Linked DNA regions of Tamandua tetradactyla. The protein of the gene in region 2 purifies or fractionates together with the protein of the main gene of each other region. This does not show direct contact. Links are inferred from orthologs where the notes say so. Each region holds a gene or a part of one and is shown on either strand. Other genes may lie near its edges. The genes, in order: MKRN1, PABPC4, PAIP1 and ATXN2.

Region 1 (7,295 bases), on a different chromosome or scaffold from region 2:
TAGAATTTCAAGAGAAATATTAAGAAAATAGTAATAATCAAGAAAATAGACAATTCTGGGCAGTTAAAAACAAATATCCTCATTCAAAGAACTTCTAAGACAATTATACCCTAGGTGAAGAAAATAGCCTTAGACAAATTCCTAGATATAAGAATGGTCTGCTATAGGGGAAATACATACAGACACTGGAACATGAGACCACCTTGAATTCTCTATAAAGGAGGTTTAAATACAATTTTACACATTAAAATTATTTATGATACACCATACTTCTTTATTTCCTTTAACATTTAGCACTGTTCCTTGTTCTAGGCCCTCAATGCTTGCTTAATGACTGAAAAAAGTAGCATCAAAAAGATACATACATATTCTATTAAGTCCCATCTCTGTTAATTATTCCAAGTTTTTTTAAAATGAAAGAAATCATACAAATACATATTAAAGTAGTTACTTTTAAAGAAAAAAAAAAGTAGTTACTTTTAGTATAGGTATACCATATCAATTCAAGCATATATTGAGCATCTGCTCTATGTCAAGCACTGAGGTGCAACAGATCAACAAAATAGGATCCCTGTTTCCAGAGAGCTCACTCAAAGAATAAATGAAGCTCATATTTGATACTCCTCTATTCAAAGATTTTTTAAAAACTAGATTGTTGGGCAACTAGAATAACCAAAAATAAAGTCAAACAGTAAATCCCAAGTCATTTCACCTAATCTTGTATTTTTTAAAGTTAATTGTAAAGCAAAAGCTATATAGGTTTACACACACACACACACGTGTACGTACACACTTAAGATACCAGAAACTAGTACAACTAAGCCTGCATCTTTTACATAATGCTTTTTCAAATTACTAGGTTACTTGGCGATGTGTTGTTTCTTAAATACAAATCCTCACTGTTTCAGAACTATTTCATAAAGTCAAAGACCCTAAAGGAATGCTCAGTCTGGTCAGCTCTGTTTCTGAAAAAAGAACTGATGAGGAAGTAGAAAAGGGAATGGGAAATGGAACAAGGGCAAGTGCCTAGCAGAGGGGAGCAGTGTTTTGCAAGTGAAAATGAATTCTGTGCAGAGATGTAAAATTGGGCCCAAGTTACAGACTCAACAGGGTAATAATAAGTATAGAAATAATCAGTTTCAGGTTGATGGGAAGGTTAGACTATATTTAAATTAGAAATGGTGGGTAAAATCAAGGCACTAAGAATTGGCATATTCAAGGAAGATTATTTTCAGGGCATGGGGTAAATTGGGACTGAATGAATGGATAGAAAATTAATAAAATGGTCACAGTTCTTTTCTTTTTAAGAGTTAATTAGCACATATAATCATTTGGTCATACAATGAAAAAAAAAAGCAGAGACTCAAATAATTGATTTAATGAATGCCTTTAAAATTTTTATTCCTTGGGATATTCCCCTGGATTTCATTGTTAAGATCTACATATGAATTATAAGAGAAAACGATTCTTATGCTTTCTCTATGCCATTACTGATGATACTTATTATCCACGCGTTAAATGAATAATAACACCGGGAGCACTTCAATTTCGCGGTTAATACTAGGACGCTACGTTAAGTATATCAGGAATATTTCAAATGCATTTACGTATAAAGTATCCCACGCCAAGGTGAAAACCAGAGCTTCAGGTGGAATTTTTCTAACGTTAGGAAAAAGAAACGCTTATAGCGGTTACTGATCACTTTTAAAAAAATCGAGGTGTAACACAGTTAAGTGCTCTAATCTTACTTGTACTGCTCGCTAATTTTTTGCATGCGTACACATCCGTATAACAGCCATCCATCAATCACTTATTTTGGCTTTTCAGCTAACGTAGTGAAAAAAACAACAATAAACAAAACCTCTCCTCAGGGAGCGACGAGCCCTTTCACTCCTTACAGAAGGGAGATGGTGAATTTCAAAAGAGAAACATTTCGGTCGGGAGGGTAATAACAGCTCGTAAAACTAAGAATGGAAAAAACGACCCAGGCACATCACTTGCTTCTAAGACAAAGCTCAGAACCGCCAATCTCGACAAACACACAAAGAAGAAGAAATAGAAAAGGTACTTCCCACGGCTGGGAGGGGGGCGGGGGCAGAGAAACGTGAAAAGACGTTAGAAACGGATGACACAGTAGAGAGGTCCCGGGAGCCAGGGCACCTCGATGAGGCCTTCTGCCGGGTATCCTAGGTCCGGAAAGGGTCGTTGGAGGACCGGCTCAAAGCGAAAACCACCCGTCCCCTCCCAAATCTCAAGAGCGGGAGGTAGGAGGGGAGGAGAAGGCATCAACAATTAAAAACTAAAAAGGAGGGGAGGAGTTATCCTACCTCTCTCACTGAATGGCGCTAGGTGCTGAATCCAGACTAGGGCGAAGGGAAACAAGTAGCGAGGCGGGCATCCCGAAAGCACCTCGCGCGCCGCGGGGCCTACGCGGACCGCGCTAGGGCCTACGCGGACCGGCGGGGGTTGACGCAGTGAGGAGTAGGGGAGGCCGCGGCGGCAGACAGGCGGCGGAGGACGCACAAACGCCGAGTTCCCTCCCTCCTTCGCTCCCTCTCGGCCAGCCAACCTCCCTCCCTTCCTCTTTCACTCTCTCGCTCGGCCCTCGGCCCCCGCCCCTCGCCTTCGGCTCAGCCACGCAACGTCTTACCTGCAGGTGACCTGTTTAGTCCAGCCGCCGCTACTACCGTCGCTGCCGCCTCCCCCTCCTCCCGCCCCCAGGGACGGGGAGGTGACTGTGGGGATAGGGATGGGGGAGGCCGCTGCCACCGCCGCCGCTGCCGCTACCGCTCCCGCTCCTGATGTTGTGGCTGTTGTTCCGGGAGCTGCAGCCTCCGCCATTACTGTTTATCCCACACAGCAATGGCACCGGAACTTCCGGGATCACATAGTTCCGGTCCGGCTTCGCAGAGAGCGCGGCCAGGGGAGGGGAAGGGGACTGAGGCGACCGCTAGCTCCCCGTCGGTCTCCGCGCCGCGTCTCCTTGCGCTCAGGCAACTTGAACTGCCAGGACCCGGCCTGACCGCCCTCCGCCCGCCCCCAACGCCATCTGATTGGCGGAGGAGAGATCTCACCGAGAAAGGGGAGGAGTTAGAACTGGGGTTTTATCCAGGTGTGCCCAGATGTTCAAAATCTGAGGGGTGACAGAAGTCCAAATATAAAGAGCGGCTGACCCAGGGGGTTATCTCTTAGTAGAGGCGATGTTGTGGAAGGAATCTGGGACCTGAGGTCGGAGGACCTGGTTTGAATGTGTACTTTTCCATTTATTGGCTCGACCAATTATTGTATGACCTTGGGTAAGGTACTAATTCTCTCTAAACCTATCTCCTAATCTCTCTAATGAGGATGATAGTAGATCCTACCTCGTGGGGTCTGTGAGAATTGTGTAATATGCAAGGAAATCACTGAGGCTAGGACTTTGTTATAAGAACAGAGTTAAGATGTTAACTCTGTACTTCTAACCAGTGGTGTGACCTTGGCCAAATATCTTAATGCCCAAGAGGATAGCATAGTGGCGACGTGCTAAGCAAATGGCTCGAGTCAGCTTGTCTCTTTTCAAACTCCTGACTTCTCCCATTCCTGGCTGTATATCTTTGAGCAAGGTATCTTACCTCTTGAGGCTGTGGTCTTCTCCATCTGGAGGAAGGGGATAATTGTACTTGCCCCAGAGGTTGTCTTGAGGATTAAATAAAAGTCCACGTAAAACACTTAGTGCTGTATTTCACACTGCAGGTAATGCTTACTATAGAATAACTAAAGGTGTCTGGAATATCTTAACTTCTGAAAGTAATTTCTAAAACTATGAAAATTAAAATGTATTTCCCCATTAATGTCCACTGTCCATTCAGATGCTGCATATTAAATTATGATCTTCCGTAAGCAGTTTTTCATAAGCCCTTAAATAATTCTGTATTTCTATAGTTTCTGCCTTGAGAAAATCAGTCCTGCTGATAATCGGACCACAATGTACCTTACAGACGCAATTAAGGACAAATTAAGTAGCAAAGCCAACAGAAAACAATGTTTCTCCCAAGGCCACAATAGTTGTAAAATGACTACTAATCCCCTTCTTTGGAATAATTTGTACTTTTTAACTAATGACTTTCCCAGCCATACATCATTTCTCCGTCCCTTTCCTGAACAAAGATTGCTAAGGCACCCAATTTCTAAACTGTCCCCTCTTCGTGACAGTATCCAATTTAGAGCTAGTCTCCTCTATCATTTGCCCCTCCTTAGAATCAGCAAGTTCACACTTGTACCTTGGAAGAGACCCCTCCCTACTCTTCCATTCCAAGATGCCCCACAATACAATACCTCTACTCTATGGTCTCCCCTGCTGCATAAAAAATTTAACTTTGACTACAGATGTGTACCTGGTAGTCTTTATCCTTTGGATTTTATCAATTAGGTAATAACTTGTTTAAAAAGGGGTGGGGCACTTAAATTTTTTTTGTATGTAAAAGAAGTCACTTAAAACAATTCTTTTTTTTTTTTTTTTTTTACATGGGCAGGCATGGGAATCCCTGGGTCCTCGGGCTTGGCAGGCCTTGGTGCCCAGTTCAGAGTCCTTGATGCTATCATATGAGATCATAGAAGATCTGAGTCTTAGCAACATACCTTAAAAGACCTTGTGCCTGACCTTGTACTAAATCCAGACCTGGTACTAAAGAGTGGAGGGATGAGGGGACTCAGGGCTGCCCCCAAGTTCACACATGCCGGACCATGCTGAGACTTGAAATTTTGATCTTCCTACTCAACATGGCAGCCAAGCTGATGCTTTTAGAATGAACACAGATTATGTTCTTCCGCTGCTCAAAGCCCTCCAAGCAGGGTAAGGTCTACAAGACTCTGTATGATCTGGTTTCTCCCATATCCCCACTCCTCTGACCTCATCTCTATTTTCTCCTTGCTCTCTCCTTTCCAGATGTCTGGCCTCTGCTGACCCAGACACAGTAGTCCCACCGTCACTTTTATTCAAATCTCGATTCTTAACAAGGGCCTTCTAAAAACATCACAGCCTGTTTCCTCACTCCTCCCTACCCGACTCCCAGACCCTTTACACTGCTCCCTCTTCTTTTCTTTATTTCCTAGCCTTTATCTTCTAACTTACCATAGGAATTGCTTATATATTATGTTTATTGTTTAGTGCCTGCCTCTCCTAGCTAGAATAGTAGCTCGATGAGGGCATGGATCTTTGCCTGATTTGTTCACAGTTATATCCCAAGTGACTGGAACCATCTGGCAATAATAGTAGGTGCTCAATAATATTTGGGTAATGAATGAGAGAACTCTCTGATGTTTTAACAAGAGCTGGGCAATATTGTATCTTGACTCACCATTCATGCCAAATAGGAACAATGTTTTATTAATTATAAGAAACAAAATAAACGAAACAAAAAGCCATCTCTGGCTTAGATTGCTGGGTAAAAAGTTCAGCAAAAGGATAAATATAAAAATATTTATTAGTGACTCTACTGTCCTTATCCTCTGCCAACAGGGTCTTAATTATAGGCAGTTTAGCTGACTGCCTAATTTGGTATGATATGAGGGCCCCAAAACCTCAGATTACTAATGTCTTCTCAGATGCCAGAGTCCAGAGAAGAGTGCCTATCTGCTGGGGGTCGGGGGTGGGGGGTGGGGTGGTGACTCATATGGGAGCCAAGGAGACTTGCCTTATCAGCCTCTACTGCTTGGGGATCAAGGCCAGTTTAGGAACATTTGGTAGGAAGAAGAAAAGGAAAGAAAGGAAGACTATCAAGATGAAAGTGTTACTGGACAATGGTCATGGATTCTTTTGCCACATGCTCAATAACCAATTCCTGAGACCCCAGGGTTTCAAAGTGAGATTTTATTACTAGGTGCATAGTAGGAGACCAGATGCCCTAACGGCCTGAAATCTGTCTCCCTAAATTTAGAGGGTTCAAGGTTTTTAAGAATTTTAGCAATGGAGATGAGATCATTTCGAATAGCAAATTCAAAGCAGAAAAGGAGACAGTGCTTCATTATCATTTCAATAGGAGAATATAAACTGAAAGGAGGGGAGGCAGAACTATTTCATCAATACTAAAGGTATAAGCCTAAAGGAAGGGAGACAAGTTATCTTTCAATAGTAGAGTCTAGGTGATAAGATTTACAAATGTCGTGGGCTGAAGCTAGTTAATGGCTGACTTCAAATTCTTCATTAGCATTAGGGCCTTTCCCCTGCAAGAAAATGATCAGATGAAAGGACTAACAGCTCTTACAGTCACAAAGGCACAAGATAAGGGCTTTTACAATCATTTCAGATATCAGGGCAGCTGATTTTGGGATTTCAGGTATTCCCCTCTGTCTACCCCAATATCCCAGAAAGCAAAAAGGAATATGATTCAGTAATCAAAATCACCCCTTAAGATTTGAACAGTGAATTAAAAGTATTTGCAAAGTCCCCTTGGGGGAATGGTGACAAAGGGAGAAAATTCAACTTCCACAAGTAGAGAATTCTTGATATTCTCACAAACAGTGGGGACAACCAAAGCAATAGGCTGAGCCCCCAATCCTGAGGTTTGTTCATATAAAATTTAACCCTGCAAAGGATAGGCTAAGCCTACTTAAAAGGATAGGCTAGGCCTACGAGTCAATGGCTGAGAGATTTTGGAGTCTAGAGGTTATCCTGGAGGTTATTCTTACTCAATAAATAGATATCACCTTTTTACTTAAGGCTTAACGGAGAGGCTGGAGGGAATTGCCTGAAAATGTAGAGTCATGTTTCTTAAAGATGATTGTATAATGATATAGCTTTCGCAACGTGACTGTGTGATTGTGAAAACCTTGTGTCTGATGCTTCTTTTATCTGCCTTTTGGACAGATGAGTAAAACGTGAATTAAAAATAAACAAATAATAGGGAGAACAAATGTCAAAATAAATTTAGTAAATTGAAATGCTAGTGATCAATGAAAGGGAGGGGTAAGGGGTATGGTATGTATGAATTTTTTTTCTGTTGTCTTTTTATTCTTTTTCTGAATTGATGCAAATGTTCTAAGAAATGATTATGATGATGATATACAACTATGTGATAAAAAAGATAATGTTCATATTGTACGTTGATTGGTTTTATTAATAAATTTTTTTTAATATCTTCCTTATAAAACATAATATATGTAAAGCTTAAAGGACAGTCACCGGACTGTGCTTGATAAGTGTTTGCTTTTGTTGTCTTTGCAATATTACATTAGAAGAGGGTTGCCAGATTTAGCAAATAAAAGTACAGGATGCCCAATTACCTAGATAAATAACGAACAGACTTGGTTTTCTTGTT
Region 2 (7,100 bases):
ATTAAGCTTTATCACTTATAAAGGGTTTTGCAGCCTACCCACAGTAGCTCAGGTGGGACAGTTAAAATTATCCCTATCATAGACTGAGGAAACTCCTTGAAAGGATGGTTTCTGCTTAAGGTGATGATGCACGTGGGCCCCGCACCTAGTAGGTTCCTGTGTCTTCTGAACCTGAACATCTGAAAAGTGCTGAAGCCTTAAGCTGAGTTCTGTGTAATTCCAAGATTTCAATGCCCTGGTGCTCACCCAACCAGTTCTCCATCCAGTGCCCTGGGACTTTTTCTCAGCTTCCCAACCAAGACAATGTTTGCACCATTTAAAGGACCAGAACCTAAATTATAATCATCTGCAGCCGGATATACTTGTCTTCAACAGCAGCAACAAGGACACCCAGAGCTGGTGCCACTTTTCCAAACTTACACTATTATCTCATGGCAGTGACTTCACTAAAGCAATAACATCACTTAGAACTTCCATGAGAAGATTCACACAGCGTCAGAGTTGGGGAGCTTTCTCCTACTTTAAAGCATCCATTCGAGAACATTTCACTTAAAAGATAGACAAAATTCCCTACCCACCCCTCCACAGGCTCAGCTTTACATCAAGTCAAGGGAATATCTTTTTTTCCCACTTATTTCCAACAATCTTTCCCACATCTGAGAAAGGCAGCTTGCTCAGTTATGAAGGGGAAGAGAAGATGGCAGTACAGAGCCATAGAAAAAGCCCAGGTATAGGACTTTGCTTGTGATAATTTTCTGTGATACACAACTGGGAAGCCCAATTGTATTTTACTAATAAGCAGTAAAGACACCCATTTCGACCCAACTACTCTTCTATTTCCAGATAGCACTGCAACAAGGCAAGTCAGCTTAGTCTGACAAATCTGGCTGCACTTATTTATAGCAGGGAGAGGTCCTGCAGAGGTATGTGTTGGCAGAAACACTGATCAAGCTTCTGCTACTATCTCCAAGTGACAGCACTTTTGTTCAGAAGAGGTAAGAAGGCAGGCAAGAAATAATGTATATACCCCCACTTCCTCCTAAAAAGGCCACACCCTCAGACACCTTCTCTGTACTTATGTGGCCAGAGACAGAACTCAGCTGAGTACACTGAATTGACAGTACGCGGTGCCTTGTCTCACTTCAACCCAGGCCCAATTCCCTGCTCTCAGCTGCATCCTAGGAAAGTTACATTCTCTGTATTTGCTTTATGGAGTGAACAAAGTGGGGACAAGAGTAGGGAGCTGGAGATCCTTGCCATAGAATGGCTTATTTCTCCCAGTAAGGGCTCTGCAGTTGTTCCCTTTTAATCTGGAGTCACATGCAGCCCCTGATTGGGTTTCCTTTGGCTTCACTCCTGCCACGCCTGCAGCGTATCTCTCCACTGCTCCAGGCTAAAGTCACAATCTGGGGTAGACTGAACCTCCAACCTTTTGCAGTCCCTTTTTCTTCAAAGGAGTCTTATTTCCCTTCGGATAGGATGAAGTGAAAGATGTTTGCACAGTGTAAAATGCTCTTCACAGCTGAGGTGATAATGCCCACCAGCCCCAGCCACCAGACCAGTGGACTTTCAGGTGGTGCTTCCCCAGCCTAACTAGCTAACATTCTCCACAGTCCAGGGCATGTCCACAGCAAACAATTCCTCCACCCCTGGGGCAAACATGCAGGATAGAGAACTCGCCTGGCTACCAGCTGAACACATGGGTCTGGTGGTGCTAGCACATGTCCCTGTTTAATCCACAGATCTGTTCCTCTGCTTCCTATCTGCCCTGAAAGACCCCTTATCAATATCAAATCAAACTGACTCTTAAGGCAAAGGTGGGGGAGGGGTTAGTAATTTTGCAATCTAAAATTTTTGCAGCGAATTGGGTTTCATTCATCCTACCTTTTTGGCAGGCTTCTGAGGGGCACAAGCCCATGTCCACTGACTAGTACAAAGTCTCTGAAGGGCCCACTCAAGCAGGACCACACACACACAATGGGCTGACAGTGACTTCACTCTGCTCTCCTTTACAGTCTTCTTGGGTTCCAACCCCACCTCACCACTAATTAGCCCAAGGTCACCCAGCCAGCCAGTACGAAAGAAAGATTGAAACTGATGCCAGGTGCCATGTTCTCACCTCTTTCTTTGCCTCCAGCTCCCACTTCAACTTCTGCACAAAATGATGTTTGGATTCCCCCCACCCCACCCCTTCCTGGGAAGTGGGGCGTGCCTAGAAGCTAACTCCCTGGGTCTCTGTAGACCCCAAGATTTTGTGGACAGAGCTCCTACTCACCGTCAGCCGGCTGCTGGAAGTTGACGTACGCATAACCCAGGGAGCGGCGGGTGATCATGTCGCGGCAAACCCGGATGGACAGTACAGGTCCCGCAGGACTGAACTTTTCATAAAGCATGGCCTCAGTGACGTCCGAGTGCAGGTCACCCACGTACAGGGAGGCCATGGGGTAGCTGCTGGCTGCAGCGTTCATCTCCCCACCCCCCACCACCCCGAGCCCCGCCAGGACTTCTTATACGGACCGCCACAAGACAAAAGAGGCTCTTCTCTGAGCCGTAGTCTGCGCTGCGGCTCACAGGTGGCAAGTTAAGCTAAGAGAAGCTGGAGTAGGCTCCGATATACAGGAGCTTGGGGAAAGCTCGTTGGAGAGACTCTGCAAAACCTCAGACAAAAGGCTCTCAAAAACAATATGGCCCTCCCTGGGGGGGTGGGGTGATGGTGGAATTTTCAGCTGTCCTGGTTTGAACCTACAAATTTCAAAAAATATGACGACGGGAATCTCCTTCCGAGTTAAACACAAATTCTCCAAGAGGCAATCAAACGCTGCCCACAGCGGCCTTCGGGACACGCGTTTCTCTATAAATATAGGCCTCGGGGTCCTGGCGGTTTAAAATTACAACAGCCAGGGAAGAGGGAAACAAAATATTCGTCCGTGCGACTCCGCAAGCCCCAGGCGGACGCTGCGCGCAGCCGCCTCCCACGCCGGGCTCGGGGAAGGGCAGCGCCGACACGTGGTGCGCCGGGAGGCCGGCCCGCAGGAAGCGAGGGGCAGCAGGACGCGCCGCGGAGCCGACGAGCACCGAGGCTGCCACGCGGCGCGTGCGGACAGGGAGGGACGCGCGGCGGGCCGGACAGACGGACGCGCGAGGCTCACAGTGGAGACGCGTGGAGGAGGGCGGGCCCGCGGCGGGGAGCGCACAGGCCCAGGCGGGCAGGCACGGGCGGCTCACCACCGGACCGACAGACGGAGACGGACGCGAGATTCCGGCGGCGGCGGGCGCGGGGCAGGCCGGAAGCGTGCAAAAGTGACTCCTCGCAGGTTCTCCGAGAAGGATTCGGTTTTTTTGACGTTTTTTTTTAAGATTTTAAAGCGTTTTCGTTTTTTTTTTTCTTTTTAATCTTTTTCTCTTTTTTTCTTCAGGCTGCTGGGCCTGAAAGCGGCGAAGGCAGCGGCGACCCGGGGCGGAGAGAGGCGGGTGGGGGAGCCACCGCTCCATTTATACCCGCCCGCCCCGGGCGCTGCTGGTCGAAGGGCGCCTCGCGACCTGGGCGCAGCCGTGCCCGCCCACTCGGCCCGGGTACCCGAGGCGGGACGGTCACGCGAGAGCGACCCGGCGCGTCTGCGCGGCACCACAGCGACACCTGGCGGTGGGAGGACCGCGCTGCCGCTGGCCGCTCCATTCCGGGCTCCAGGCAGAGTGGACCTCAGGTATCCTGGTCCGGGCTTTCACCAGACCCAAGGACTCCTTTGCATAATAAATATATTACAATCCCCCCACCCCCTTTAATCACCCGGGAATGGTGATTAGATAATATAACCCTTAGATAATATAACCCACCCACACGCATAAAATTAAAAAATCAATGTAAAGGATGAATACTGTATGATATTACTTATTTGAAATAATTAGACTATGCAAATTCATAACATTAAGAAACTAGAATACACGTTACCAGGGGCTGGGAGGGAGTGGGGAATAGGGAATTGATGCTTGATTGGCTTGGAGTTTCTGTTTGGGGTGATGGCAAAGTTTTGGTAATGGATGGCGAAAATGGCACAAGTTGTGAATGTAATTAATACCGTCGACTTGTATAATTGAAAGTGGATAAATGGGAAATTTTTGGTTGTATATATGTTACTAGAATAAAATTTTAGAAAAAAAATAATAACAGTGCAGGGGTGCGAGCATAGTTCGGTGGTAGACTCTCACCTGCCATGTCGGGAGACCCGGTTCGATTCCCCGCCCATGCACTTCCCAAACAAACAAAGAAACCAACAAAAACAAACAAAAAATTCAACAAATGGTGCCGCCATAACAGGATAGTCACGTGGAAAAAGAATGAAATGTGACCCCCGCCTTACAGCATGCAGGAAAAAAAAAAGGACAACACGAAGAGTGAACCTGAAACCAAAGATAAACTATGGACTATGGGCAATAGTATAATAATTTTTTTCATCAATTGTAACAAAGCTACCACAATAATGCAAAATGTTAATAATAGGAAAACTGTGGGAGTGGAGTTTATGGGAACTCTGTACTTTCTGCTTGATTTTTTTTTCTGTAAACCTACAACTGCTCTAATAATTTTAAAAAGCTAGAAATGACCAAAAAAATGTAATGCCTAATTGGAAAATAAAGATGAAATAAAATGATTTACTGAAAAAGACTTAAGGGTGCATGGGTGGTTCAGTGGCAGAATGCTCGCTTTCCATGCGGGAGACCCGGGTTCAATTCCCGGACCATGCACCTAAAAAAAAAAGTTAAAAAAAAAAAGAGGTAAAATAATTTCCAAATAAATAATAAGTGGCTCAGTATATAAATATTTGGGGCCCCATACTCAAGAAGACATATGGAAATTCTCAGAATCTGGGACTTAAAGATAGAATCGTCCAGAATGTGGCAGCTAGAAATGCAGTGGTTTCTGTGGGTAGTGTGATTTGCTGAAAAGATTAACAGATTTTGGTAAAGCTTCAATAAAACAAAATATGATTATCCCTCTATTTACATGGTAATGGCATTCCTGTAAATTTAGTTTCTATTTAAAGGCACAAAAATATCTTCTGTTTCCATGTAAAAGGGAGTTAGTGCCTAGGCTCCTGTAATTATAAAGAGAGTTTTCATCCACCTGAGATCTGGCAGGTCACTTGAAAGTTGTGGGATATGAAACAATTCTATGGTATGTGGGACTGTCTCCATGCCTAGCAAACTATATAGCATCCCTTCGTCCCTAAACACCAGGAACTCTCCATTATTTTTTTTATTAATTTTTAAATTAAAAAAATATATATTACAACAAATGCAAACATTCTTAACTTATGATCATTCCATTCTACATATATAATCAATAATTCTCAATATCATCACATAGTTGCATATTCATCATCATGATCATTTCTTAGAACAGTTGCATCAATTCAGAAAAGGAAATAAAAAGACAATAGAAAGAAATTAATGCATACCATACCCCTTACCCCTCCCTTTCATTGATCACTAGCATTTTAGCCTAATATATATTTTAACATTTGTTCCCCCTACTATTTATTTTTATTCCATATGTTTTACTCATCTGTTGATAAGGTAGATAAAAGGCTCCTCCATTATTTTGAGAACCAAACCCAGAAATTACCAAAAGGCATGCAAACTCACTGAAAACTACTGATCTAAGTAAATGAATGAAGAAATATACATATTTATATATTCATTCATTCAAATAAATAATCAGGGACTATACTCTATGGCAGTGCCAGCTATAAATGCTGGGGGATACCATAGTAAATATGACAGATGTGGTAGGTTGAATTATGTAACCCAAGGAAAGCCATGTTCTTAATCTTAATCCCTATTCCTGGGAGAGTGAGCTCGTGTATAAACAGGACCTTCGAAGATGTTATTTTTAGTTATGGTATGGCTTAGTATAATCAAGGTAGGCCATAATCATTGTTACTGGAGTCCTTTATAAGCAGAAGAAATTCAGACACAGTCAGAGAAGGCCACAGAAAAAAGCCACAAGTTAGTGGAAACTGGAAAAGCAGACACAGAAGAAAGAGATCACCATGTAATGGGAGGCAGAGATGCAAGCCAAGAAACCCTAAGGAATGCTTAAGTAAGCCAGCGTCAGAACGCTACAGACTTTGGGGAGAGAGCATGATTTTGAACTCCCAAAGCCAACTCATTTGTTCTAGCAGCCTGGCAAACTAAGACAGGAGGGAAAGTCTTCCTATAAATAGGTCCCCTCCTCCGGGGAGCCTTCCCAGACTGCCCAGTCTAAGGTAGTCTGCCACTGTTAATTATTATCACACCATCCTGTCTCTTTGTCTTCAATGCTCTTATTACTACCTGAAATCACAAATTACATTGTGTGTATGTGTGTGTATCTGTTTAAAGTGCCTGTCTTCCCTCCACTGGTATATAAGCTTTGTGAGAACTGAAACCTAGAACCGTGCCTAACATGGCACAAAGCTCTATTTAAGCTTTCAATAAATATTTGTCAAATAAATGAAGGAATGCTGGGCACTGATGAGCAAATGCCTTGATTTGAATTGCATTTTTATGAAAACATCTCTGGTTGCAATATGGAAACGGTTTAGAGGATGGGTGTAAGGGGACATGCAAGATGATGGCAGACTAAGGTAATGACCATGGGGCGGGGGGGGGGGGGGGGCGGAAGTGGTTTGGTTTAAGAAATAAGTAGACAATAAAAATTGTAACTAATTAGATGTGGGAGGTGAGGGATTGAGTCAAGGAAGGTCCCTAAATTTCTTGGAAATCAAAACATTTACATTTCCTACAACTGACACAAGATTATCACTTTGTTTTAGAGGGGGGAGATATGTAAAGCCACCAGAAGGAGCCTGGAGTCCAACCTGCAAAATTAAACAATACCTGATTAGGGCTCAATGTTGGGTAGGAAGAGACTGAACCAATAACCAGGCCAGTGATCTGAAAGTGACTGGCCTAGGCAGGTCAGTACGAATCTACCTTTGCTGGGATTGGGCGTAAAGCTTCAATAAGAGCTTTTGGGGGTGGAGTGCTAATATTTTTTTCACTGGGGCAGTCTACTTTCAGAAGAACTCTGTTCTTCAGAGATGACATGAACATATCAA
Region 3 (6,922 bases), on a different chromosome or scaffold from region 2:
AGAGAGATTAAAAGGTATCTTCTGCCTTCAGGTGAGTTCAGTGGAGTTGTTTGCTTAATAAACCAATTATTAACAACCCAGCATGTTAGGAGCTAAGACAGAGTTTGCCCAAGATGCTAATATCACAAAGGAGGAAATCTAAGATTGGATAGATTGGGGAAAGTTCCAGGAGGATACTTAAGCAGACCCTCATAGGTTAAGAGGCATTAACAGACAGGTAAAGGAATGCAGAGATGCTTTAGTAAAATCATGAAGGTACGAAGTAGCTTGGGATATTAGGGTAAATTAGTATTGCTAAAAGGGTGCAGGGAAGTGGGGTGGGGGTAGAACATGTGGGGGAATAACACAAGATGAAGTTGGGGAGTGTGATGGTTGGAAAGGATGTCTGTACCCTAGAAAAGCCATGTTTTAATCCTAATCCCATTTTGTAAAGGCAGCCATTTCTTCTAATCCCTATTCAGTACTGTATGTTTGAAACTTTAATTAGATCATCTCCCTGGAGATGTGACTCAATCAAGAGTGGTTGTTAAACTGGATTAGTTGGAGATATGTCTTCACCCATTCTAGGTGGGTCTTGACTACTTTACTGGAATTCTATGAAAAAGAGATTCTGAACAAGCAGAGAATGAAAGAAGCAGAGAGTCCACCAGCCAGCGACCTTTGGAGATGAAGAAGGAAAAAGCCTCCCGGGGAGTTTTATGAAACAGGAAACCAGGAGAGAAAGCTAGCAGATGACACCATGTTCACCACGTGCCTTTCCAGATGAGAGAGAAACCCTGACTATATATGCCATGTGCCTTCTCATTTAAGAAAGAAACCCTGAACTTCATCAGCCTTCTTGAACCAAGGTATCTTTCCCTGGATACCTTAGATTGGACATTTCTATAGACTTGTTTTAATTGGGACATTTTCTCAGCCTTAGAACTTTAAACTTACAATTTATTAAATTCCCCCTTTTAAAAAGCCATTCCATTTCTGGTATATTGCATGCTGGCAGCTAGCAAATTAAAACAGAGAGGAAAGCAAAAAGGTCTTGTTCTGAGCTGAGGGGTTTGACTTCATTACAAAAGCTACAGGGAAGATTTCTAGCAGTGGACTAACATGATCAGACATGGTTTTAGAAGGATTACCTGGCAGCTAAATGGAGGATAGGCTGGAGGCAAGGAGACTAGTAAAGATAATTACTACTTTCAGTTCTCCTCTTAAAGCCAAGGCCTCCAGGGTGGTCATGGTAGAGATAAGTCTAGGAATCTTGAATTTTATAGACCTCCTCACAGGAATAGGCAGAACAATTTTTAATCTAGCTTAAAGAAACAAATCTTCCCCATAGTTCACAGCAGGTTCTTTTCTCATATTTTACAACCTCTAAAAATTTGTTCTTCTACTCTCCTTTCACCATAAATAAGAAAGGAATGAAGTTGGGGCAGGAGATCTTTTGGTGATTCTCTTCACTTCCCCTTTATGGTGCTCATGTTTTTTTTGTGTGTGTGTATGTGTGTGGTCTCTTGGCATTATGCAATTCCTAGCATCTACCAGTTGCCCTTTAAGCCTCTAGATGAATCTGAGCCTTGTGATATCTTAACATCAAGTTACTTTTCTGTAAAATGAAGATAATGTAAATGTCTACTTGACAGAGTGTGAAGATGAAATGAAATACAAGATTTTGGAACAGCTGTTGATCTTCCAACAACTTGGAACAGTTGACATATAATAAATGTATAAAAATATTAGCTATCGTTATCGTAAATCCACTCATGTTATCCCCTAGTCCAACATTCATACATCACAAGATGACTAGGACTAAAGTTACATAATAGGGAATGGAGGGAAGAAGAAGGATAACATCTCAATTGTCTAACTTGACCCTAATCACAAATGGAGGCTGTATAAGGATGCCCTGATGCCACCATGGACACAGAACGGCCTAATCTTCAAGAAAGTGACAGATGCTAGAAAAGGTGCTAAACATCATAAAATTTTAAGAGGAAAAAAAGGGTGAAAAATGCAAATGAAGGTCTGGGATAAGATTAGGGCATCTAATAAATACCCCTTCCCTGGGACATCCAGCATAACTCATCTTCATTCTTTGCTTAGGCACGAAGTGACTGACTACATAAAAAAAAGATTTTAAAGAGCTTTGCACATCACCTCATGTAATTTTTAAATCGTAATTTGGTCTCTCAAGCATTTATTTGTAATATTTGTCCAGCGCCTCAAGATAGTCTCTTTTTTTTTGTATGCTGTGTGGTGAAGATCACATTTCATTCTTTTTCCATGTATCCCATTATTGCAGCACCAGTTAATTTTTTTTTTGGAAGTGCATGGGCTGGGAATTGAACCTTGGTCTCCCGCATGGCAGATAAGAATTCTACCACTTAACTACTCTTGCACCCACAGTCATTTTGTAAATGAGGAAAATGAGAGGTAAATCCCTTGCCCATGATCAGTCAGTAATGTTCAAGGGTGGAATTCAACCAGACTTCGAATCCTGCATTCTTTCCCTACACCAAGGAACTATACTTCGTGCTGGCTTCCTTCTCTGACTTCAATAGTTTTGCCTAATATAAGCAGCATAAATAATGTATTCATGGTTGTTCTCATTAAAGCCATTTTCTCATTTAGATGAAGACTTTAATGTTTTCATTATTAGCAAAAAAAGTAAGTTTCATTATTAGCAAAAAGAGTAAGTAAATGGTTTTCTTAATTGAAATGACTCTCAAGATGAAAAATCACTGAAAGACAGTATTTCAAGTCCTTCTATTTCTCTTCATAAGTCTCTCCCTTCTGTAAAGAGTGTTAGCTGATGATTAAAATAAAAGATTTTGTGAAGTTGGTTCACTCCAACAGTAAAGAAAAGGTATATGTTTGCCCTTTGTTTTCATTACCTATATTAATCCATTCGGCTTCAGCACCATCAGGCTGACTGAAACATTTTACACATAAATGTCCAGAACTACCTTGTCCAGTGTAGTAGCCACTAGTCACGTGCAGCTATTGAGTTCTTCAAACATGGCTAGCCTGAATTAAGCCTGCTGCAAGTGTAAAATACACATTGAATTTCAACCAATACAACAAAAATTGTGAAGTATCCCACTAATATTTTTATATAAATTAAAGGTTGAAATATTTTGGATATATTGGTTTAAATAAAATCTATTATTAAAATTAATTTCATCTGTGTGTGTTTACTTGTTCAATGTGGCTTCTACAAAATTTAAAACTAGTTAAGTGGCTCATGTTACAATTGGGCAGCACTGGTAGAAGATGAAAAAGGGGAAAGTATCATAGAAAACGTAATAAAATTCTCTCAACATTTTAGAAGCGGAAGAAAAAAAAGGAAGAGATTCAAGTTTAGTGATAGGTTTGGTCTACAGTGATAAAGACCCGGTTGTGAATTAAAGAGGGGGGCGTATTTTGGAACTATTTCTACTCCTCTCCTCCACTGCTAGCCGAGCCGGAGGAAGAATCCCTCCCAAAGGCCCCTTCGCGTCGCGGCCTCGCGTCGCGGCGGGAGCCGGGTCAGTGCACACACCTGCGCGCCCTCTGAGGTGCGCGTCCGCGAACCCTGGCGCCGGGTCCACGCCCCCTCCCCCCGTATTTTTATTTTCCTGGCATCAACCGTCAGTCTCGCACTTCTCTCCAGAGAACCATCGAGCAGCTTGGGCCTCGCAGGGGTAAGTGGCCCCTCAACTCCCATCCCGGCTTCAGGAGCCGAGATGTTCTCGTTCAGCACCCGCTGCCCACAGGGTCGTCCAGCGGCCGAGACGCCGCTCGCCTGCCGGCCTAGTGGGCAGCCGCCGCCGCCCCGCCGCCCCGCCGTCCCGCCGCCGACGAGAGGAGTCGCGGCTGGCGCGCCGGGAGCCTCCGGGCCGCGGGGGGCCGCTGTGACCCGCCTTCGCCCCCGCCGCGCTGAAGGGAAGGGTGCCGGGTTTTGGGGGAGAATCGGAAAGAGCTGGGTAGCCGTGAGGGGCGGGCGCTCTGGAGCGGCGGGTGTTCAGGCTGCCGTCCGCCCCTCCTGAAGCGCGGAGGAGCCTAAGCCGGGGCCCGCCGCCCTCCTCCTCCATGAGGCCCGAGTGAGGCACAGCGACGAGAGCCGGTCTCCCCACCGCGCCCTCTCCCGAGCTCAGCGGCGGCGGCTCCCGGAGGAGGAGCATGTCGGACGGTTTCGATCGGGCCCCAGGTGCTGGTCGGGGCCGGAGCCGGGGCCTGGGCCGCGGAGGGGGCGGGCCTGAGGGCGGCGGTTTCCCGAACGGAGCGGGGCCTGCTGAGCGGTCGCGGCATCAGCCGCCGCCTCAGCCCAAAGCCCCGGGCTACCTGCAGCCGCCGCCGCTGCGCCAGCCCAGAACGGCCCCGCCGCCCGGGGCCCAGTGCGAGGTCCCCGCCGGCCCCCAGCGGCCTCCCCGGCCCGGGGCTCTCCCAGGTACTGAGCAGCGCTTGGGGACCCCCTCGGGCCAACGCCTCCCCACGGCCTTTGGCGCGCGCCGGAATGCGGGCGCGCTCTCTTCTCTCTCTCCACGGTTCCCCGAAAGCATTCCGCTAGGGGCCGGGTGGCTCCGGGGTGGGGAGCCGCGCGGAACCGGGTTTGGAAGGTGGCTGTTGGAATCCTTTGTGCTCCCCGGCGGGGGGAGGGGCCGTCTGCGCGGTCTCCGAGTTCTGCCGAGGGGGGAGTAAAAAGCTCCCCTTCCCCAGCGCTCTTAACGGATACACTAGTCCAAGCAACCACCTTTTTTTTTTTTTTTTAACTGACTCCTTAAAAAAAGGGAAGGGGGGAAAAACAAAAGCCCTCACAGTCACCCATTTGAAGGCAGGTATGTTTATAAATGAGCTAAAGCAAATCTATTGTTCCTTTTTACAGGCTCTTTGTACAGTTCCTGACGATGACCTTAAATTTCGTTATGGTTCTTGTTTAGCTCCTAAAACCAAGCCTTACTCGGATAGCTTTTCAATATATAGTAAATTATTATACAAGGGAATGAAGGAACCTAACACCCCTATTTTTTTTTCTTCAGAACAAACGAGGTCCTTGAGAGCTCCGCCTAGTTCACAGGATAAAATCCCGCAGCAGAACTCGAATTCTGCAATGGCTAAACCCCAGGTGGTTGTAGCTCCTGTATTAATATCTAAGCTGTCTGTGAACGCTCCTGAATTTTACCCATCAGGTTATTCTTCTAATTATACAGTAAGTACTCCGTTTTACTACAGCTCTTGGTTGGTGTTACTGGGATAATGTGACTATAACTTATTAACCATAGTATGCTGGTGCTTTTTGTCCTACTCACAAAAGCATTTTATTATGAACTCATTGAACTCCTGAGGAAATACAATTGATTCAAGAATATATTTGGTAGATATTGTCAAGGTATGAGAATGCCAACTGAAAGTAGGAATTTTTGTATTTAGTTGTCTTCTGTATTCCCAGCACTTATTATAGTTATCAATAAGCAAATAAACTTTATGTTGTTAAGGACATCTTCAATGTATAAAACTAAAATCTTTTTTCAGATTTTATGGGCAACCTGTGGAATAGTAGCCTGGCAAAATTGAGTTTTAATTTGATTTTAGCAAGATAACTGAATATTCACTAATGGCTTAAGGATAAATAAATAGTAGTTTTGCTGTAAACAAATTATGAGGTAGTTGAGAAGTACAGATCTGCACTTTTGTTTGTAGTGATCATTGTTCCGGATTATAGATTATAGAAAATAGAAGTTTTTCTAGATCTAGATACCTACTGTATGTAGATATGTCAAAGGGGATTTTGATAAAGTATTTTGGTGTAAAGAATTTTTAAACTTTCAGAGTCATCTTTGTCAGTAATATAAGAACTTTAAAAGTTGGTCAAACAAATTACAGGAGAAAGCACAAAACGCAGTAGGGTTGCATAGAAAAGAATGTATCATGCTAGGTAAAACAAGATGAGTAAAATGCACAGGAATTGAAGAGAGGTAGAACAGGAACCATGCTACTAAATTAAAGAAATGATTAATAAAACATATCATGAAGTCTGACTTTCACATTTTCCTAATTTTATTGAGATTTAACATATAAAAGGGTGTACAGAAAAATATAACTCAATTTCACAAAGTGAGTACTCAGGTAACCAGCATCTAAATCAAGAAAAAGAACATTATCAATCCCTAAAACCCACCTCTGTCCCCTTCTAATCACTACCAATCACAAGGGTGACCACTATTTTGATTTAACAGATTAGAATAGTTTTGTTTCTCACTTTCATTCTGCAATATTAATCCATGTTGTGTAGCCTGTAATTGGAGGTGGGTTTATCGTCATAGTATAGTATTCCATAGTGATATAGTATAAATAGTATAGTTTTGTTTTTTTTTTTGTGGGCAAATGTACCATGATCTGTTTATCCGTTGATATGTTGATGAACACGTTGATGATATTTGGGTAGTTTCCACTCTGGGGCTCTTTTGAAAACTGCTCGGCCAGTCCATTTCTGGTGGATATATGCCCTTTATCAGTTTGAGGTATACCTAGGAGTGTAATTGCAAGGGTATAGAGTAGTCGTATGTTTAGTTTTGGTAGAGACTGCCATGTAGTTTTCTAAAGAGATTGTTCCAATGTGTTCTCTAAGCAGTATGTGGTTTCTAGTTGTTCTGCTTCCTTATCAGTGGGCTTTTTTTTTTTTTAAGTTTAGCCATTTTGGTGGGTATCTTGTATCTGTTTCCGGTTTTAATTTATATTTTCCTGTTGGTTAATGTTGGCACACCATTTTGTCAAATTCATTGGCTCTTCCATATTTGATAGAAAAAGTCATGTTAACTTTGTATTCTACATTTTAAATATTGCATGCGTTTTAGGCTGCATAGGAAAAAGCTCTGGGGTTGGAAAAGTATAGACATAGCAGGAAGAGCAGTTGATTTGGGGTGGAAGGAGTCATCTATCATGTAAAATAGAA
Region 4 (7,889 bases), on a different chromosome or scaffold from region 2:
TGAAAAAAGATGAACACAATATATATATAATCACTATAACTGTAGAAATGTTGACAAGAACTGAACACTAAAAGACAAAAATAAAAATTGGATTAAGGTAAAATTATGTTCAAAATTTAAGCTGTAGTTATACTGTTATTTCCTAAGACAAAATGCCACCTTCTGAAATGTATATGACAATTAAAGACAGAATAAATCATTTTGAAAGCCATGAAAATTCAATTTTCACAAAAAACTCAAATGATAAAATATTATATACTATTTAAAGCAAAAGTATTATTTCTAGATTTTCAAGAGTATTTTGCTATCTCTGAACATGTCAAACCCAATGCTGCGCTTTTTTTCTTCACCCTTGATCCAGAAACTTATTTTACTGCTGATACATTCAAGCATAAGTGAGGTTAGAAACTGTAACTGATCTACAAAGGGCCCAATAAACGTAATTCAAAATTGAAAGCAATTCTACAAGTACATGAATCTATACAAGAACAAAATTTTACATTATATGACTAATACATTAAACAAAACTTCAAATATTTAACAAAAAGAGTAAGATCTACCATTTACGCATCAGGTGAAATAATTTAAAGCAAGACAATCTAAATGAACCTTAAATTTCTGTGAAGCCCTAAGGAATAGAAAAAAGACCTACAGTACTAAAACATTCCAAGTATCTTTGATCAATCAAGCTACCTCGGAACAAATTATTTGTCATAATGTGATTTTTATACCTAAAGAGAACCAATGCAACTTCTTCAAAGCCTTAGTTTAAATTTTTTAATTATTTGAGCAAGTGAAATATATCTGCCAGATTTCAACCTGACACCTAAAAGGAAAACAATTCTTTCTGTAAAAATTATATTTATAATTTTCATTTTTCTTTATTAATGCCACTGCAAAAAGGAAACTAAAGTTACAAAATCCTAAGTGTACAGAGCTGGGGAAATGATCCCTTCATTTGAACTAGTTGGCTAGGTTTGTGGGTGCTTTAGAGAAGGGGAAACTATGGGAGTAGGAGTGGGTAGCAGTCCAGAAGCGTCTTTACATCAACCTCTTTGAAGTGAGAAGAATTTCTTAAAAACCAGCTGATTCATCTTGATGGGTAAGTTTTTTTGCTGGTTAATGAAAATGCTTTGTAACTGGATTGCTGAAAATGTGTTTTCACAAAGAAAACTCAGTGCATGAAAAATTCCCTTATTCCACCTTCAAAAGACCACGACATCTATTTAAGGAGAATGCTGGTCACTGGCCCTGCCAATCCGGCCTAAATGAGGCATGGCAGCGCCTTCAACACGGATGGACTCAGGGCACAGGGGAAACGGACTTGCGTGCCCTTGGTAAGCGCTGGCGACACTCCCCAAGTTAAGGACACAGGCCACAATGGAACGGAGTGTTACTGACACTTGCACCCTGTTTGAACGCTAAGCATTTTCTCAGTTAGTGAATTACGAACTGACACACGACCCTGACTCCCAAAGAGGCTTTGGCGCACAGGCACACACACTCTAGAGTTAGACCCGGCTGGCGGAAATAACAGAGCCCCCAGCCTTCAGCACAAACCTGGGTTATGAGGGTTGGAGCGGGAGAGGGGAGGCGCAAGGAAACACCCACGTTTCTGCCTTCAGGAATCCCACCCTGTCCCCCGCTGCAATCCCTCTCCCCAAACACACGCAAAAAAAAAAAACACCTCGGAAATCAGGGTAGGGGGTATCAAGAAAGCTCAGCGGGCTCCCCCCGCCCACCCCCCACCTCCCCAGTTCCGCCTGGGCTTCGGGCGCACGCCTGGGCCCGACCCTCACCCACCAGTGTGCAAAAGCGCTTTAGCCGCCGCCTCGGAACGGCAATGCGGATCGGCCACCACCCGAGCGGGAGAGGCCATGCGGGAGGAGGGAAAGAAGGGGGAGGCCGGGAGGGGCCCAAGCACTCCCACCCTTCCCCAGGTGGGGGAGAGCGGGCCGCTGCGGGAGGCTGCACAGGGCAAGACCATTCTAGGGCTTCTGGACACCCCGCCGCGGCCTTAAGGCTTAAAACTGGAAGGGGCGGGGGGCTGCTGCCCACCCACCTCACCCCCGTCCTTCCATCATTCACTGAGTAGAAAGGGGGCACAGGTGAAGAGACGTGACAGACCCCAACGATTCCAGAAGCGTCCTGTGGCTGCCCCTTTAACAGGAAGGCAGGGGACGCGGTCCAATCCCCCCCCCCCCCGCCTCGATATTCCTCCATGGGGGAGGAGACGTGTTTCGGGAGACTGAAACAAAATCTAAAGACCACTCCAACCACATTTAAACCGGGAGTGGGGACGCTGCCCGCAGCATCCCCCTCACCCCCACTGGGGACCGGGAGGGCTTAAAGAAGGTGCAACGGGGGCTGACAATTGCTGGGACCTGTGAGCATTTCAATGGGAAGGGGACGCTGCCCGGTCCTTCCATCTTGACCGTTTAGGGAGGAGAGTGAGGATGGTGCAGGAGGATGGACGCGGCCTGACAATCCAGAGGGGCCCCACGGCGCCCCCCACCCGAGCCTGCAGGGTCTAAAGCGGAGCTCCCGCCCCCGCTGCGGGCCCCTAGCCCACCCCGCTAGGCCAGGCCGGTCCCGGGGAGGGGATGGCGGTGCGGACCGCGGGGGAGGGGACGCGAGGCCCGACCTCGTCCAGGCCCCAAGCGGAGGGGGCTGGGACGCCGACACCCACCTGCCCAGGCCCGGCCGCCCGCCGCCAGTGCCCGCCGCCGCCGAGGAGGAGGAAGCCGCGGCCGAGAGCGAGGGCGACGAGGCTGAGGACGGCGGTGGCGCGGCGGCGGGCGACGTGAGAAGGCCGCCGCCGGGCTTGCGGGCATTGGCTGCCGCGGTCTGCTGCTGCTGCTGTTGCTGTTGCTGTTGCTGCTGCTGCTGCTGCTGCTGCTGTTGCTGCTGGGGCTTCAGCGACATGGTGAGCGGCCCATACACCGGCCCGCACGCCAGGCGGGTACAGCAGGGAGCCGGGCGCGCCGAGGAGACGCCGGAGCGCGGCGGGGACGCGCGGGCGCCGAGCGGAGAGGCGCGGGTTGGCACGGCCGGGGGGGAACCCAGGCCCGCGAGGGGGAGGAGGACGACGACGAAGGGGCGGGGAAGCCGGCCGGGACCCAGGAGCCGCCGGGAGCTGGGCCGGGACACGCCGCAGCCGTTGCCGTTGCTACCAAAACAGTCTGAGGCGGAGGGAAGCGAGCGCTGCCCGGAGGGAGGGGGGCCGGGGCCGGGCGGGGGAGGGGCGGCGGAGGGATACGGGCCTAGAGCCGTGCCGCCACCGCCCCTTCCGCCCCATCGCGGGAGCGAGCGCCGCCGGGTCCATCTGGCAGCCGCGAATCGGCGAGGCTCAAGGACCACCGCAGGGCCCCGAGGAGCTGCGGCCGCCGAGCTCATCGGGAGACGAACACACCCAAGCGCTGCTGGCCGTGCCAGCGGCCGATGCGGGATGGGGACTCTTTACCGGAAGTCGGCAGGGTCAGACGGAAGTAGGGAGTGAGGGAGCTCCGAGTCCGGGAGGGACACGTGAGGAGCGGGTGCCGGTCTGGGCCGCGTTCGCGGGGGTCGGTGAGGGCCCGGCTGCCGGCCCTGCCTGGATCCGCCCTCCTCTAGGCGGGGTTGCCCTTTGGCGAGGGCGTGTCGGTCTTCTCCGGCCGGATCAACCTAGCGTAAAGGACTAGGAGGAAGCGTTTTTTCTCCCTCGCCCCCCAAGGTGCCTTTTCGGTCCTCAAGCTTGGAGAAGAATGCCTGTTTGACCCCACCTGACGCAACGTATAAAATGAACTGCGAGCGCCTTCCGAGGGTAGAGTGTCTTGCTCCGTATAAAGCACGCAGAATAGTCACTGGCGCGATGAACACGAGCATTCAACAGTTATCTTTGTATCCTCGGCGCCTGGCACACAGTAGGCCCTCGGGTGTCACTGAGTGTCTCAAAGAAGAGCCCTGTTCTGTTTCGCTGCCAAGACTAACGAATGGACTTGAGATTGAGCAACATGCCGAGGCTACCCAAATCTGGTTACCTTTACCCCACTTTTTCTACAACAGCAAAAAAGTAACCAAGAAAACTCTTTTGCGTATCTGACCTTCATTTGAACCCATTTTCCCCTCACTTGAACTTCTTTTACCTCCTTCATGAGGCTCAAGAGGAAATGTACGTGATTTGGTACAGCTATGAAAAAATGGGGTCTCCTGTCGGCGGAGACAGAACAGTCTTCACAAGAATGTGCGAACTTTAGACCTTGGCCCCTTTAGAAGTTTTACTTTAACTTAAGAGAGCCAGCCAGCACAGTAGTCCGTTTTTAAAATGTGTTGCAATTAAACTGGAAGCAAGTAGATAACTACTTTTTTTTTTTTTTGAGTGAAGCATCTAGTGTTTTGTTGTATTTTTTAGTGAGTTTAAGGAAATGATAGGGCAATCAACATCAAAATTCCCTTCAATCTCGAATTGTCCAGATAAACGTAAAGACCTAGAAGAACTTGAAGAATAATTAAGCCAGATGTATCCAGTAGCCAGAATGAACTGACATTAATCTCCTACATAGCCTAGGCAAAACTGATCATTGTATATTGCAAACACTTGAAAAGCAGGCAATCAGCAATCAGGTGTATTTCCCATCTAAGGTAAAAAGATTGAGAAAAAATGTAGTATTCCTTTAGAGTTAAAAAATCCTTTAAAAATTAGCCCAGAAGAAACAGGGCTAAAAAACCAGATGAAGAAGGAAAAAATAAAATAACTATAATCAAAATACAATGGACTTTCTCTGATTTAATGACTTAAGAGCTTTATCTGGGACCAAGGTCCCAGAATGTAGTGTTAGGACCAAACTCCAAGCATATGGGGGAAAAAAGGGAAGTAGAGTAAGAAGGCATAAAGCTGACATAGCTGAACTTGGTTTCATGTAGGCTGAGAAATGTAGGCTAGTTCTCATCCACTATAATTGAACTTTTTCCTACCATAAGAGTCATCCATTTGAAGTATTCGATGATTTTTAGTCAATTTACAGAGTTGTACAACTATCCCCACTAATTTCAGAGCATTTCCACTACCCCAGAAAGATCCCTCATGCCCATTTGTAGTTACTAGCAGTTTCCACCCACACCTCTGGCAACCACTCCTCTACTTTCTGTCTCTATGGATTTGCCTGTTCCAGACATTTCATATAAATGGAATCTTAATGTATGTGGTTGTTTGTGTCTGTTTCTTTCACTTAGCAGAATGTTTTTGAAGTTTATCATGTTGTAGCATATATCAGTTTTTAGCTCCTTTTTATTACTAAGTAGTATTCCACTGCGTAGACCAATGGGATTTGTACATCATTAATTCACCAGTTAGTGGACACTTGGATTGTTTTCAACTTTTGCCTATTATGAATAATGCTGCTATGAACATTTGTGTACAGGTCTTTGTGTAGACATATGTTTCATTTCTCTTGGGTAGATACCTAGGAGTGAAATTGCTGAGTCATAAGGTAAATTTATAATTAACTTTTTTTTTTGAAGTTGAGAATTGTTAACAGCAAAGAAATATATTTAAGTTTTTAAGGTATTGTCAAACTCTTTTCCAGGTGGGCTGCACCATTTTATGTTTGCACCAGCAATGTATAGGGTTTAGCATTAAAATTTGATCTTTACTTTTATATTAAATTGGAGACCAAGAAAACCTCTCTTGTCAACTCTTTTTTTTTCCTCCCCATTTCACTTTCTTGAGGGAGTCTCCTCACCTAAAACCAAGGAATATCCCTTCTTGCAAATCCTTCACCTGAATTCCAGACCTCCAAGAACATGGTTATTTTATAGCAACCATGATGTCAGAGGGCTTTAGCTTTATATGAAAATGTCAGGGTATAGTAGGCAGTCTCTAAAACAGCCCCGGTGATCCCTTCCTCCTGGTATTCAGATTCTGACATATCCCCTCCACTTGAGTATTGGCTGGGCCTAGTGACTTGATTCTAACAAACAGTTAGAAAAAGTAATGGGTTTTCACTTCCAAGATTATAGTACAGAAAGACTCTGGCTTCTGCCTTGGGCTCTGGGGTGGCTTGGAATTATGTATCCCCAAAAAGCATATTCGTAATCCTATCCATTCCTGTGGATGTGAACCTACTGTAAATAGGACATTTTGAAGATACTATTTTTAATAAAGGTGTGGCCATATGAATTAGAATGGGTCTTTATGCTATCCATGGAGGTCTTATAGAGAAGGGGGAGCAGCCAGAAGCTGAAAGTCAATGAAACTGGAAGAGAAAGGCGATAACCCCGCCACGTGCATTGTCATGTGATGGGAAAGCCAAGGAACCCCAGCCAGAAGATACCGACCTGGGAGGAAGCAAGCCTCTAGCCTTTGAAGCCCAGCTAACTGAAGCCAACCATTGTTGCATATTTGTTTTAGCAGCCAGGAAACTAAAACAAGCTGCCCTCTCTCCCTCACTTGCTCTGAAGAAAGCCAGCTGCTATTCTGTTAACTGCCCTACAGAGAGGTCCATATGACAAGGAACTGCCATCTCCAACCAACAAGTGAGGACCCAATGGCTGTCATAGGCCGCATGAGTGAGCATAGAAGCTCAATCAAGCCTTGATATGAATATAGCCTAGCAGACACTTTATTGAAACTTTTATTGTATCTAGCTCAGGTTAGGTACCCTGAGTTAGAGCTACGCATTTAAGCTGTCCCCAGATTCCTAACCTATCTGTTTTAAGTTGCTAAAGTTGGGGACAATTTGTTAACACAGCAATAGATAACTAATACAGATGACCAAAAAAAAGGTACATGTCCAATGATTTCCATAGACTCGGAATTCTTTAAAGACAGATGCTGAAATTAGGGACTAATAATATATCCAGTGAAAGTTAAAATTTTGAATGGTCCTTCATCTCCCACAGACATTTTTCTGATAGTCATTAAAACAAAACCAACAAGTGTCTTTGGAGAGTTGTCATCAAAGGCAACGAAGAATATTGCCCTGAAACAGTCTAAGATTGAGAAGTGTTGGAAAAATTTAAGCTTCAAAAATATTTCAACCAATATTTCAGAAATTCAAAAAGTCTCAAGACAGAAAACATCCAGAGAAAGACTTTCAGATTTGGGAATCTAGTCCTGTGGTTTCTGTCCTTGCTTTCTGATTTCCAGTGACTCCTCAAGCCACATGATCCTTTATTAGCCTGTTAATTTTCATTACTTCAGTGATTAATCAAGTCTGGGAATTTGGGGATGAAAAACTGATAGAACCATGCAAAGCACAGAAATGTGTGGAGTGATTTGTTATCTCTCATATAATAGCACACAGCAGAGGACCCCATATTTCCAGCAATTCATTTTTCTGTAATCATTTCTGTCAGCTGTCTTCATTTGAGCCTGTTTAATGTATGATGATACATTATTCACTCAATACTCTTGATTTTGATTTCCACAGCATGAAAGTTAATTCAAATCAAAACTAACATGCATCCCCCCCCACCAAAATCCATCCTCTTCAAATTCTTGCATAGACAGATACTCAGTTTTAAAAAAAAAAAGCAGATGTAATTTCAAAAATAGGACCGTGGCTAATTAAACCATTGCTTTTTCTCCTGACTGTGGTTACTCAGAATTCTTAGAGGCAAATCTATTTGTAGACCCTCTAGGGATGCCAAAACACTAAAACAATATTAAAAAAAAAAAAAAAAAGAAAGGAAAGATGGGTGTTGGGGGAGATGCTGCTTGGAGGCATTATTTATACACTTTGTATGAAAAGTAACTGCTTTCCCACAGGTGTGGAAAAAACAAAGCAGTGTGGCGAAAGAACAGTGGCAAAAGAACAGGGAGCACAGCGACATTCTTTGAAAAGCTTTTAAATTATCTGTTCCCTCCACACCAGCACACTTCTGGTTGTTAAGTTGCTCGTTTTGTTTTA

The links.
Region 1: the proteins of PABPC4 (region 2) and MKRN1 purify together in Homo sapiens (affinity purification with mass spectrometry; 3 studies listed by BioGRID and IntAct, with this or other methods). This does not show direct contact. The link is inferred for Tamandua tetradactyla from reciprocal best matches to the Homo sapiens genes PABPC4 and MKRN1.
Region 3: the proteins of PABPC4 (region 2) and PAIP1 purify together in Homo sapiens (co-immunoprecipitation; 3 studies listed by BioGRID and IntAct, with this or other methods). This does not show direct contact. The link is inferred for Tamandua tetradactyla from reciprocal best matches to the Homo sapiens genes PABPC4 and PAIP1.
Region 4: the proteins of PABPC4 (region 2) and ATXN2 purify together in Homo sapiens (affinity purification with mass spectrometry; 4 studies listed by BioGRID and IntAct, with this or other methods). This does not show direct contact. The link is inferred for Tamandua tetradactyla from reciprocal best matches to the Homo sapiens genes PABPC4 and ATXN2.

Annotation. Positions count from the first base shown.
Region 1 is NC_135327.1:183,909,556-183,916,850, forward strand, and holds the start of MKRN1 (E3 ubiquitin-protein ligase makorin-1), read right to left. Parts: upstream 3,013-7,295; 5' UTR 2,842-3,012; coding exon 2,651-2,841; intron 2,457-2,650; exon of another isoform or gene 2,328-2,456; intron 1-2,327. UniProt on the Homo sapiens protein: E3 ubiquitin ligase catalyzing the covalent attachment of ubiquitin moieties onto substrate proteins. These substrates include FILIP1, p53/TP53, CDKN1A and TERT.
Region 2 is NC_135328.1:185,799,116-185,806,215, reverse strand, and holds the start of PABPC4 (polyadenylate-binding protein 4), read right to left. Parts: upstream 2,898-7,100; 5' UTR 2,808-2,897; coding exon of another isoform or gene 2,761-2,807; 5' UTR 2,469-2,760; coding exon 2,276-2,468; intron 1-2,275. Other genes in the region: uncharacterized protein LOC143658260, read left to right, coding at 2,761-2,807, 2,898-3,314, 3,417-3,783.
Region 3 is NC_135335.1:93,719,194-93,726,115, reverse strand, and holds the start of PAIP1 (polyadenylate-binding protein-interacting protein 1), read left to right. Parts: upstream 1-3,920; 5' UTR 3,921-4,152; coding exon 4,153-4,420; intron 4,421-4,625; exon of another isoform or gene 4,626-4,808; intron 4,809-5,009; coding exon 5,010-5,179; intron 5,180-6,922. UniProt on the Homo sapiens protein: Acts as a coactivator in the regulation of translation initiation of poly(A)-containing mRNAs. Its stimulatory activity on translation is mediated via its action on PABPC1. Competes with PAIP2 for binding to PABPC1.
Region 4 is NC_135331.1:12,234,232-12,242,120, forward strand, and holds the start of ATXN2 (ataxin-2), read right to left. Parts: upstream 3,009-7,889; 5' UTR 2,926-3,008; coding exon 2,690-2,925; intron 1-2,689. UniProt on the Homo sapiens protein: Involved in EGFR trafficking, acting as negative regulator of endocytic EGFR internalization at the plasma membrane.